Linked DNA regions of Callithrix jacchus. The protein of the gene in region 1 purifies or fractionates together with the protein of each later gene. This does not show direct contact. Links are inferred from orthologs where the notes say so. Each region holds a gene or a part of one and is shown in the gene's direction. Other genes may lie near its edges. The genes, in order: KCNA5 and KCNAB2.

Region 1 (4,289 bases):
TGAGTTCCAGCGTCATCACTTTCTACCCGCATGAGCCTGGGTGAGTCTGTCAATTTCTTTGTGCCTCAGTTTCTTCGTTTATAAAATGGTGATGATGATAGTATTTACAAAATAGGTTGCTGTAGGAATACCCAGAGACATTATTTTAAAGTGCTGAGAACGGGCTGGTGCATAATAAGAGCCAAGTAAGTACTGGTTGTTATTATTCCACTCTTGGGAATTCTCCAGCCTTGGAGATTGCAGTATCTCCCTGGCTCCCTCTCATACACCACCTCCACCCTCAGCCCCCTTCATGGACCTTGATGCAGTTGCTAGCTCCAAGGTTCACCAGACAGGATCGGCCCTCACCAGAATTGTAAAAATCTCTCCCCTCCTGCCCTGTTGTGGCTTTTGCAAATGGAATTCGTTGCAGGGGGTGGAAGGGTTCTGCTGGTTTGAGACCAGACAGCTCATCTCTTGACTAGGCTGCCTGCCTGGGCTGCCACTGGGTCCATACTAGAAACAGGGCAGGGTATGGGGACGCTGCAAGGTTCCAACCCCGTCATACCTTTTTGTGGATCTGTAGGAAGACGGGAAGAGAGGTGCTTCTCCATTGATAATATGTATTTCAAGGTCCGTAACTACTCCACGCCCCCTCCCGTCTGCAATTCTTCCCAAAGAAACACCGTTATCTCTCCAGAGTAAAAAGGACTGTTGTCTCCCGTCTCTGTCTCTCGTACTCCGACTCAGCTCAAAGCCTGTCCTTTTAACCCAAGGCACTTCGTTCCTTCTGGAGTCCACTCGGCTTCCAGCGGGTTCCCAGGTGAAACTGAAATCCAGAGCTATTCTCATCTGGTTGCCCTGGGAATTTCGGCGCTCTCGGTACAACCTGTTCCTCCATCCTCCCCACTCCTTCCCTCCCTCCGCGGGGCTGCACCCTTCTCGGCCCCTCCTTTCCCTTGCTAGGGGCCCCAGCTGCGCCCTCCCGGGAGACACTCGGTGCCACGAGACCAGGCTGGGGAAGCGGGCGGGGGGGGGGGGGGGAGGCGGGGGGGAGGGGAAGCGGGAGGAGGGGGAGGCGGGGGAGGAGGCGGGGGAGGCGCCCAGGGTGGAGGCCAAGCGCGGCGCAGCCAAAGAGGGGCGGCTGAAGGTTGCATCTGCTGGAAGGAGGCTTTTCGGCTGCTTGGTAACCGGCTGCCAGAAGAGAGAGAGAGGCAGAGAGCAGGGCAGCGGCTTCTTGACGTCAGGACCAAGCGAGGGGATCGCGCCAGCAACCCCAGCTCGCCCCAGAGAGGGGGCCGGCCAACCGCGAGAGCGGAGCCCGAAGCGAGGCGCCAGCGGAGCGTGAGTAGGGGGCGCGGGAGCCGGTCAGCTGGGGCGCAGCATGCCCCCTGCCCCCGCGCCATGGAGATCGCCCTGGTGCCCCTGGAGAACGGCGGGGCCATGACGGTCAGAGGAGGCGATGAGGCCCGGGCAGGCTTCGGCCAGGCCACAGGGGGAGAGCTCCAGTGTCCCCCGACGGCTGGGCTCAGCGATGGGCCCAAGGAGCCGGCGCCAAGGGGACGCGGCGCGCAGAGAGGCGCTGATCCGGGAGCGCGGCCGTTGCCTCGGCTGCCCGAGGAGCCGCCACAGCCTCGGCGGCCGCCTCCGGAGGACGAAGAGGAAGAAGGCGACCCCGGCCTGGGCGCGGAGGAGGAACAGACTCCGGGCGCTGCGGCTCTGCACCACCAGCGCGTCCACATCAACATCTCCGGGCTGCGCTTCGAGACGCAGCTGGGCACCCTGGCGCAGTTCCCCAACACCCTCCTGGGGGACCCCGCCAAGCGCCTGCGCTACTTCGACCCCCTGAGGAACGAGTACTTCTTCGACCGCAACCGGCCCAGCTTCGATGGCATCCTGTACTACTACCAGTCGGGGGGCCGCCTGCGGAGGCCGGTCAACGTCTCACTGGACGTGTTCGCGGACGAGATCCGCTTCTACCAGCTGGGGGACGAGGCCATGGAGCGCTTCCGCGAGGATGAGGGCTTCATTAAAGAAGAGGAGAAGCCCCTGCCTCGCAACGAGTTCCAGCGCCAGGTGTGGCTTATCTTCGAGTATCCGGAGAGCTCTGGGTCCGCGCGGGCCATCGCCATCGTCTCGGTCTTGGTCATCCTCATCTCCATCATCACCTTCTGCTTGGAGACCCTGCCCGAGTTCAGGGATGAACGCGAGCTGCTCCGCCACCCACCGGCGCCCCACCAGCCTCCCGCGCCCGCCTCTGGGGCCAACGGCAGTGGGGTTGTGGGTCAGCCCTCTGGCCCCACAGTGGCACCACTCCTGCCCAGGACCCTGGCCGACCCGTTCTTCATCGTGGAGACCACGTGCGTCATCTGGTTCACCTTCGAGCTGCTCGTGCGCTTCTTCGCTTGCCCTAGTAAGGCAGGGTTCTCCCGGAACATCATGAACATCATCGACGTGGTGGCCATCTTCCCCTACTTCATCACCCTGGGCACCGAGCTGGCAGAGCAGCAGCCGGGGGGCGGAGGAGGCGGCCAGAATGGGCAGCAGGCCATGTCCCTGGCCATCCTCAGAGTCATCCGCCTGGTCCGGGTGTTCCGCATCTTCAAGCTCTCCCGCCACTCCAAGGGGCTGCAGATCTTGGGCAAGACCTTGCAGGCCTCCATGAGGGAGCTGGGGCTGCTCATCTTCTTCCTCTTCATCGGGGTCATCCTATTCTCCAGTGCCGTCTACTTCGCGGAGGCTGACAACCAGGGGACCCACTTCTCCAGCATCCCTGATGCCTTCTGGTGGGCAGTGGTCACCATGACCACTGTGGGCTACGGGGACATGAGGCCCATCACTGTGGGGGGCAAGATCGTGGGCTCGCTGTGTGCCATCGCCGGGGTCCTCACCATCGCCCTACCTGTGCCCGTCATCGTCTCTAACTTCAACTACTTCTACCACCGGGAGACGGACCACGAGGAGCCGGCAGTCCTTAAGGAAGAGCAGGGCATTCAGAGCCAGGGGCCGGGGCTGGACAGAGGAGTCCAGCGGAAGGTCAGCGGGAGCAGGGGATCCTTCTGCAAGGCTGGGGTGACCCTGGAGAATGCAGACAACGCCCAAAGGGGCAGCTGTCCCCTGGAGAAGTGTAACGTCAAGGCCAAGAGCAACGTGGACTTGCGGAGGTCCCTGTATGCCCTCTGCCTGGATGCCAGCCGGGAAACAGATTTGTAAATGGAGATTCAGGCAGACTGGTGGCAGTGGGGTAGGGAATGGGAGGCTTGCTGAACATGGGTATCTACATTACACCGCAGAGTATTGGAAGCCACACTGTAACCTCAGTCTACCCTCTCCTTTCACTTCTCTCCTTCCTCCCTTCCTCCCTCCCTCCATCCCCCCATTTTCCCTCTTCTTTCCATGACACCCAAGGGTCGCCTATTTTTAAAAAGTACCACGTTCCATGACGCAGGAGCTGTTGAAATGGCGAGTGCTGTGAGATGGATGTATTTGTAGCCTATACCCAGCAGAGGGATAACCCAAACAAAAATGACTCTAAATAGCCCAGATCCCAAGAGATTATGTAACCCCTCCATCCATGTGTTCCAAGTTTGCTTTACATATGATTATATTTGAGTATAGGGGAAAATATTATTTTTATGGCTGGTAAGTGGCTTTTTGTACTGTAGTTCAGATAGAGATATTTTGGATATGCTTTCAAGATACATGTTGTATTTACGGAAGAGAGAGTTGACCTGATGTTTCTCTGTGATACTTATATTTGAGCCAGAGATCTTGGTATGAGCTGTTCTGGTTCTTGTGTGTCCAAGCCTCTGATTTTTCTGGGATGTGGTATTGGTGCTTTGTGTCTAGGGCAGAGAATGTTCTGGAGGAAAGGCAAATCTGACTTTTTCTGTGCGCCTTAAACAACTCTTGTAACTTTCTTCAAAAAGCATTTTAATGATATTGGAGGAATACTTCTGATAATTTATTCTCTTTATTTGTATCCCAGGAAATAAAAGGTTACTTTGTTGAGGCAAGTGTTAGTTTTTCTGCAGCTGATACAGTTCTGAAATTTAAAAACAGTCTGTCACTGGCTGTTTCTGGTTTTGAAATCAGAGCAAACGCATTGACTGGGGTCAGAGGAAACTTGGGAAGCTCATGATTCGCTCGGCGACATCTTTCCAATGCACCCCTTGGTGCCTCATAGACAATGGTGGGTGAACTGCTTTCCAGGCTGTTTATGGCATGGACGCCCCTGTGGCATGCTCTCTGAAGCAGTAGTATTAGCTCTTGTGGTCAGCCTGGAGTGTGGAGGGCACTAAAGGGAAAAG
Region 2 (4,252 bases), on another chromosome or scaffold:
CACGAACATTCTTCCAGCACCTACCCTGAGCCCTGGAGAAACGGTCTTGAACACAGCAGACAAGCTCGCTGCCCCCATAGAACGTATAGAAAAAGGACACAAATTAGCACACACAAAAAAGACAGTAACCTATGGAAACTGCACAGGGGAGCTGCAACGAACAGAGCCCTAAGTCAGAACCAGGTGACGCTACCCACGGTCATCAGAAACGCTCTCTTTTTGCCAACTGCACACACGTGAGAGGCTGGATTTCCTTCGCAGACGTCCACCAAAGCCACACATGGCGACATATGGAGACAAAAAGCAGCGGTCACCTAAGAAGACAGACATGAGGAATCTCGGGCAGCAGGGGGGCCTGCACGTGTGGGGAAGGGCACGCGGGAGCGGGTGTCGTGTTCCGGGTCCGGTCGGCCGGGAGATCCCAGGGCAGGAAGGGGGCGCGGAAGGCCGAGGTGGCCCCGGACAGAAGAGAGCCTCGCGGGCACGCCCGAGGGCCGCAGAGCAACAGCCGGGTACAGCAGGAGGGAAACGGAGGCGAAGGTGGGGTCCGCGGGCTCCGGCCGGGGAAGGATGTACGCAGACCCAAGAACCAGGTCAGCGGCACCACAGTTCCTTCAGCCGAAGGGCTGCAGAGGGGGCAGGAGGCAGGGGGCAGGGGGCAAAGGGCAGGGGCAGAGGGGGAATCCACGTAGCCCAACTGCAACCGGCGGCCCGGGCCGCACCAAGTGTCCCGACGAGGGGGGAAGCCTGCGACTGACGCGGGGACAGGCCTCGCCGAGCGCCGCCGCCAGACTCCAGGCACCCGGCCCCCACACAGAACGGCACGGACCATCCTACCCCAGAACCCCGAGGCTCCGGCAGACACTGCAGCCCGGTGCGCCTCGAGGCCGCGTCCAACCTCCCCCGTGGCGTTGGCCCACATGGTTCCGCCCGCCGCGGGCCGCGTTACCTAAGAGACCGGCCCGCCGCGGCCACGCCGGAGGCCGCGGAACCCACGCTTTTGAGAGAGTCCCCAGTCGACAGACCCAAAGGCCCGGCAGCCGGTGCTCAACGCAGCCGGAGGCCTTAAGGACCGAAAACTGGCCGAGGGGCGCGCCCCGTCCGCTGCCACCCGCGGGAGGAGCCTTGGAAGGCTGCGCGCGCCGCGCACTTCAGGCCGAAAACCCGCCTCGCGTCACTTTTGCCGTCAGGGCCGCGGAGCCAATCAGAGCCCAAGTCTAGGGCTAGACTTCGCGAGCGCCAGCCAATCGGTGCGGCGGCGGGCCCGTCCTGATTTGCATGTCCGGCGACCCTGCAACCAATGGTAATGTGACTGGCGTGAACAGCAGCCAATTCGAAGCTGGAAGAGGCGTGGCCCCGGGCGTCCCACGAGGTGAAGATGCTGCTGGCGGAACCTGCCGGAGCGAGCGGGATTCGGGGGCGCTAAAGTCGCAGGGGCAGGGCGGGAAGGAAGATCCGGCGTGGGGCTCAGGATCCGGAGCTGGAGCCCCCAGGTGAGTACGGGGGAGACCCCGGCGGGGCGCGCTTTCCCCCGACCTGCGCCGGGACGGCGGCAGCGGGCACCCACGAGGCTCGCGCTGCGGCAGGCGCCGCGGTGCCGTCTCCATCTCCTCTTCCCCGGCCCTGCGTCCCTGCCTCCGCCTCCATCTCACCTCCTCCTCAGCCTCCTCACCTCCTTCTCCGTCGTCTCCCTTCCCCCATTCCTTCCTCCCTTTCCTTCGCGGTCCTCCCGCCCGACCCTTCAGCTCGCATCCCAGACCCCTGCCCCTGCCGCCGTCCCTCTCCTTCACCCCGGTGCACCTCTTCCCCGTCTCGGCCCGCTCCGGTCCCCGCAGCCTCGCCCTCCCCTTCCCTCCTTCCTCCTCCCATCCCCTCTCCCGGCCTTCGCGCAGCCCCACCGGGGCGCTGCTGGTCCCGGTCCTCCCCATCTCTACCCCCGGTTGCTCCTCAAGGCTCACCCATCGTTCTCGCAGCCTGTCCCTGTATCGCTCCGGTCCTTTTCTCCATCGTCCCTCCCTCCCATTCTGCTCCCAGCCCCTCCGACCTCTCCCCGCGGGCACGCTCTCATCACCTTACCTGGCTCCCCAGGACTGTGACCCTGCTTCCTGCACCCGTTCCTCGAGCTGTCTACACCCTTGAGCCCCTACTATCTTAAGCTTCTCCCTCCTGCCAGGCCTTGGCACAAAGCACTTCCCTACCTGCTGCTGCTCCCAGGAGGGATGCAAAGACCCCGCTGCTGCACCACGTCCTGCGGCACTAGCAGTGGCAGCAGTCGGGGTACCTGCCCACTTTCCCACCCCCCCATCCAGGCGCATCCTGGCGTTGCTCCTCCTGCCATTTGTCCTGGGGCCTCCTGCAGGGGCTGTGCTTTGCCTGCAGCATCCCAGGGTGCTCCAGGTGGGAAGCCCCTTAACACCCTTCCTCCCTGGCCACCATCTCCCTCCCTCCCCGCCCCCACTTTCCTGCTCAGCCTCACTTTGTGATTCAGCATTTTTGGGGTTGGTAACTTTCTTGCTTCCTGTAGTGATAGGGACCTGGCCACGAAACTGAAGGCAGGGGGTCTTGACCCTGCAGTTAGAGGGCTACCTTAGGAACCGGACCTGAGCTGCCTGGTTGGGAGGGGGCTGAGGAGCTGGGGACAGCCAATGGGGATGGCCTTTTCCTCCCTTTCATTTGTCTGCCCTGTGTTGAACTGTGTCCAAGCGGAGATGGCATAAGTAATAGCTATTGGGGAAATGGACTATTAGCATTTATGGAAATTAATACATCCACATCCGAGGAGCAGGAACACCAAGTTCAGGCCACAGCTGTCCCACTGTCTGTCGCTTCAGGATTTCTTCTTTCTCTGCAACTTCTCCCCCTCAAAAACGCCAGCCTCCTCCCTCCCCTTCCCCCCAGTGCCAAGAGTAAGCTCCTGCTTTGCTAAGGAAGCCGCATTCAGGCCCCGCGTTGCAGGGTTTGGGGACCTATGTGTGAAGAGTCGCATCTGCCCACCTGATTCTTGCCTGGTGGCTCTGTCTCCCCCAGAACCCTGTGCAGCTCCTGGCCCTGTGATTTGACAGTGTGGGGCCGTAAGAATGCACTTGGTCCCCCAGGTCCTGCCATTCTTTCTGGAGACAGCTCTCCAAAGCCACACTCGGCCTCGATGGCACTGACGGTGTTGGGCTGCATGCAGCACATCTCTGCCTGGAAAGCAGCATGGTAGAGGCTTCCCTGTCCATACCCAGGGCCATTTTTTTTCCCTGCGCCAGTCAGCACATGCTTTGTCAGTGCTAATCGGCACCTGGGGACTGAGCCGGGCACTGGGGCTGGTGGTGTCGTAAAAAGTGTGAAACCCTTGTCATGTGTTTCTTGGTTCACAACCATCTTAGTCTGGATACAGAGCTGGATGGGAAGCAGGGTGCACAGAAGCCATCACACCCAGGAGATGGGACATGGGCCACCATGCTAGGGAACTGGAAAGACCGAGGGTGCCACGGGATGGCCAGCTAGAGAAGGCTTGCTCACTTTCTTTCCTTTTTCAGCAATCTTCTAAGACCCAAATGATTCAGGAGGAAGTGAGCGCCACACGGTTTTGATTTGGCAGTTTCCGGCCTGGGCTTGGAGGGAGGGACCTCCCCCAGACCTTCCTGTGTGTTGGTGCTCTGCCATGGTAACATGCTTCCATTTCCAGGGACTCTGGCCAGGAGTGGCATGTGTTTGGTTCTTGGCTAAATTCTCTGTGATTGTCACGTTGTTAGAGTTCCCAGAGAGAATGTTTTTCTGGGGTCCCTGAATAAGGAGGCAGGACAGTGGGCCACTGGGAGCGGTATTCGAGAAGGTTTGATGCCAGAGGTGTCTAAGGCCATAGACCCATGCCTCCCACCAGTCCCCTTCTCAGCACCAGGAGGACTTGGGTCGTGGCCACCCAACAGCCGGTCATCCTTGCTGCCAAAGGACTAAATGGAAACCCAGAGGACAGAGGCTTCTCCAGGGTCACACAGCGGCAGTGACAGAGCTGGGTTGGACCCCCTATTTCCTACTTATTTGAACCCAGTTCATATCTTGGCTATCCGAGCTGGGGGAAGCTAGCACACCAGGACATGACCGGCTCTCTCTTGGGAAGGCCACTTGGAGGCATTGCTGACGTTCATGGTAACAGCCAGTGCCCTCAGGTGTGTCCCAGTTGCTGGAGGGGCTGTTGGGAACGGGAGGTGCCACTACCGTGGAGATTTCTCAGTGACTCACTCTTGCCTGGCATGCAAAGGTGCTG

What was found.
Region 2: the proteins of KCNA5 (region 1) and KCNAB2 purify together in Homo sapiens (co-immunoprecipitation; 3 studies listed by BioGRID and IntAct, counting the BioPlex papers as one, with this or other methods). This does not show direct contact. The link is inferred for Callithrix jacchus from reciprocal best matches to the Homo sapiens genes KCNA5 and KCNAB2.

The regions. Positions count from the first base shown.
Region 1 is NC_133510.1:18,649,692-18,653,980, forward strand, and holds KCNA5 (potassium voltage-gated channel subfamily A member 5), read left to right. Parts: upstream 1-1,267; 5' UTR 1,268-1,383; coding exon 1,384-3,192; 3' UTR 3,193-3,995; downstream 3,996-4,289. UniProt on the Homo sapiens protein: Voltage-gated potassium channel that mediates transmembrane potassium transport in excitable membranes. Forms tetrameric potassium-selective channels through which potassium ions pass in accordance with their electrochemical gradient.
Region 2 is NC_133508.1:43,885,789-43,890,040, forward strand, and holds the start of KCNAB2 (voltage-gated potassium channel subunit beta-2), read left to right. Parts: upstream 1-1,399; 5' UTR 1,400-1,493; intron 1,494-1,958; exon of another isoform or gene 1,959-2,026; intron 2,027-2,076; exon of another isoform or gene 2,077-2,198; coding exon of another isoform or gene 2,199-2,315; exon of another isoform or gene 2,316-2,450; intron 2,451-4,252.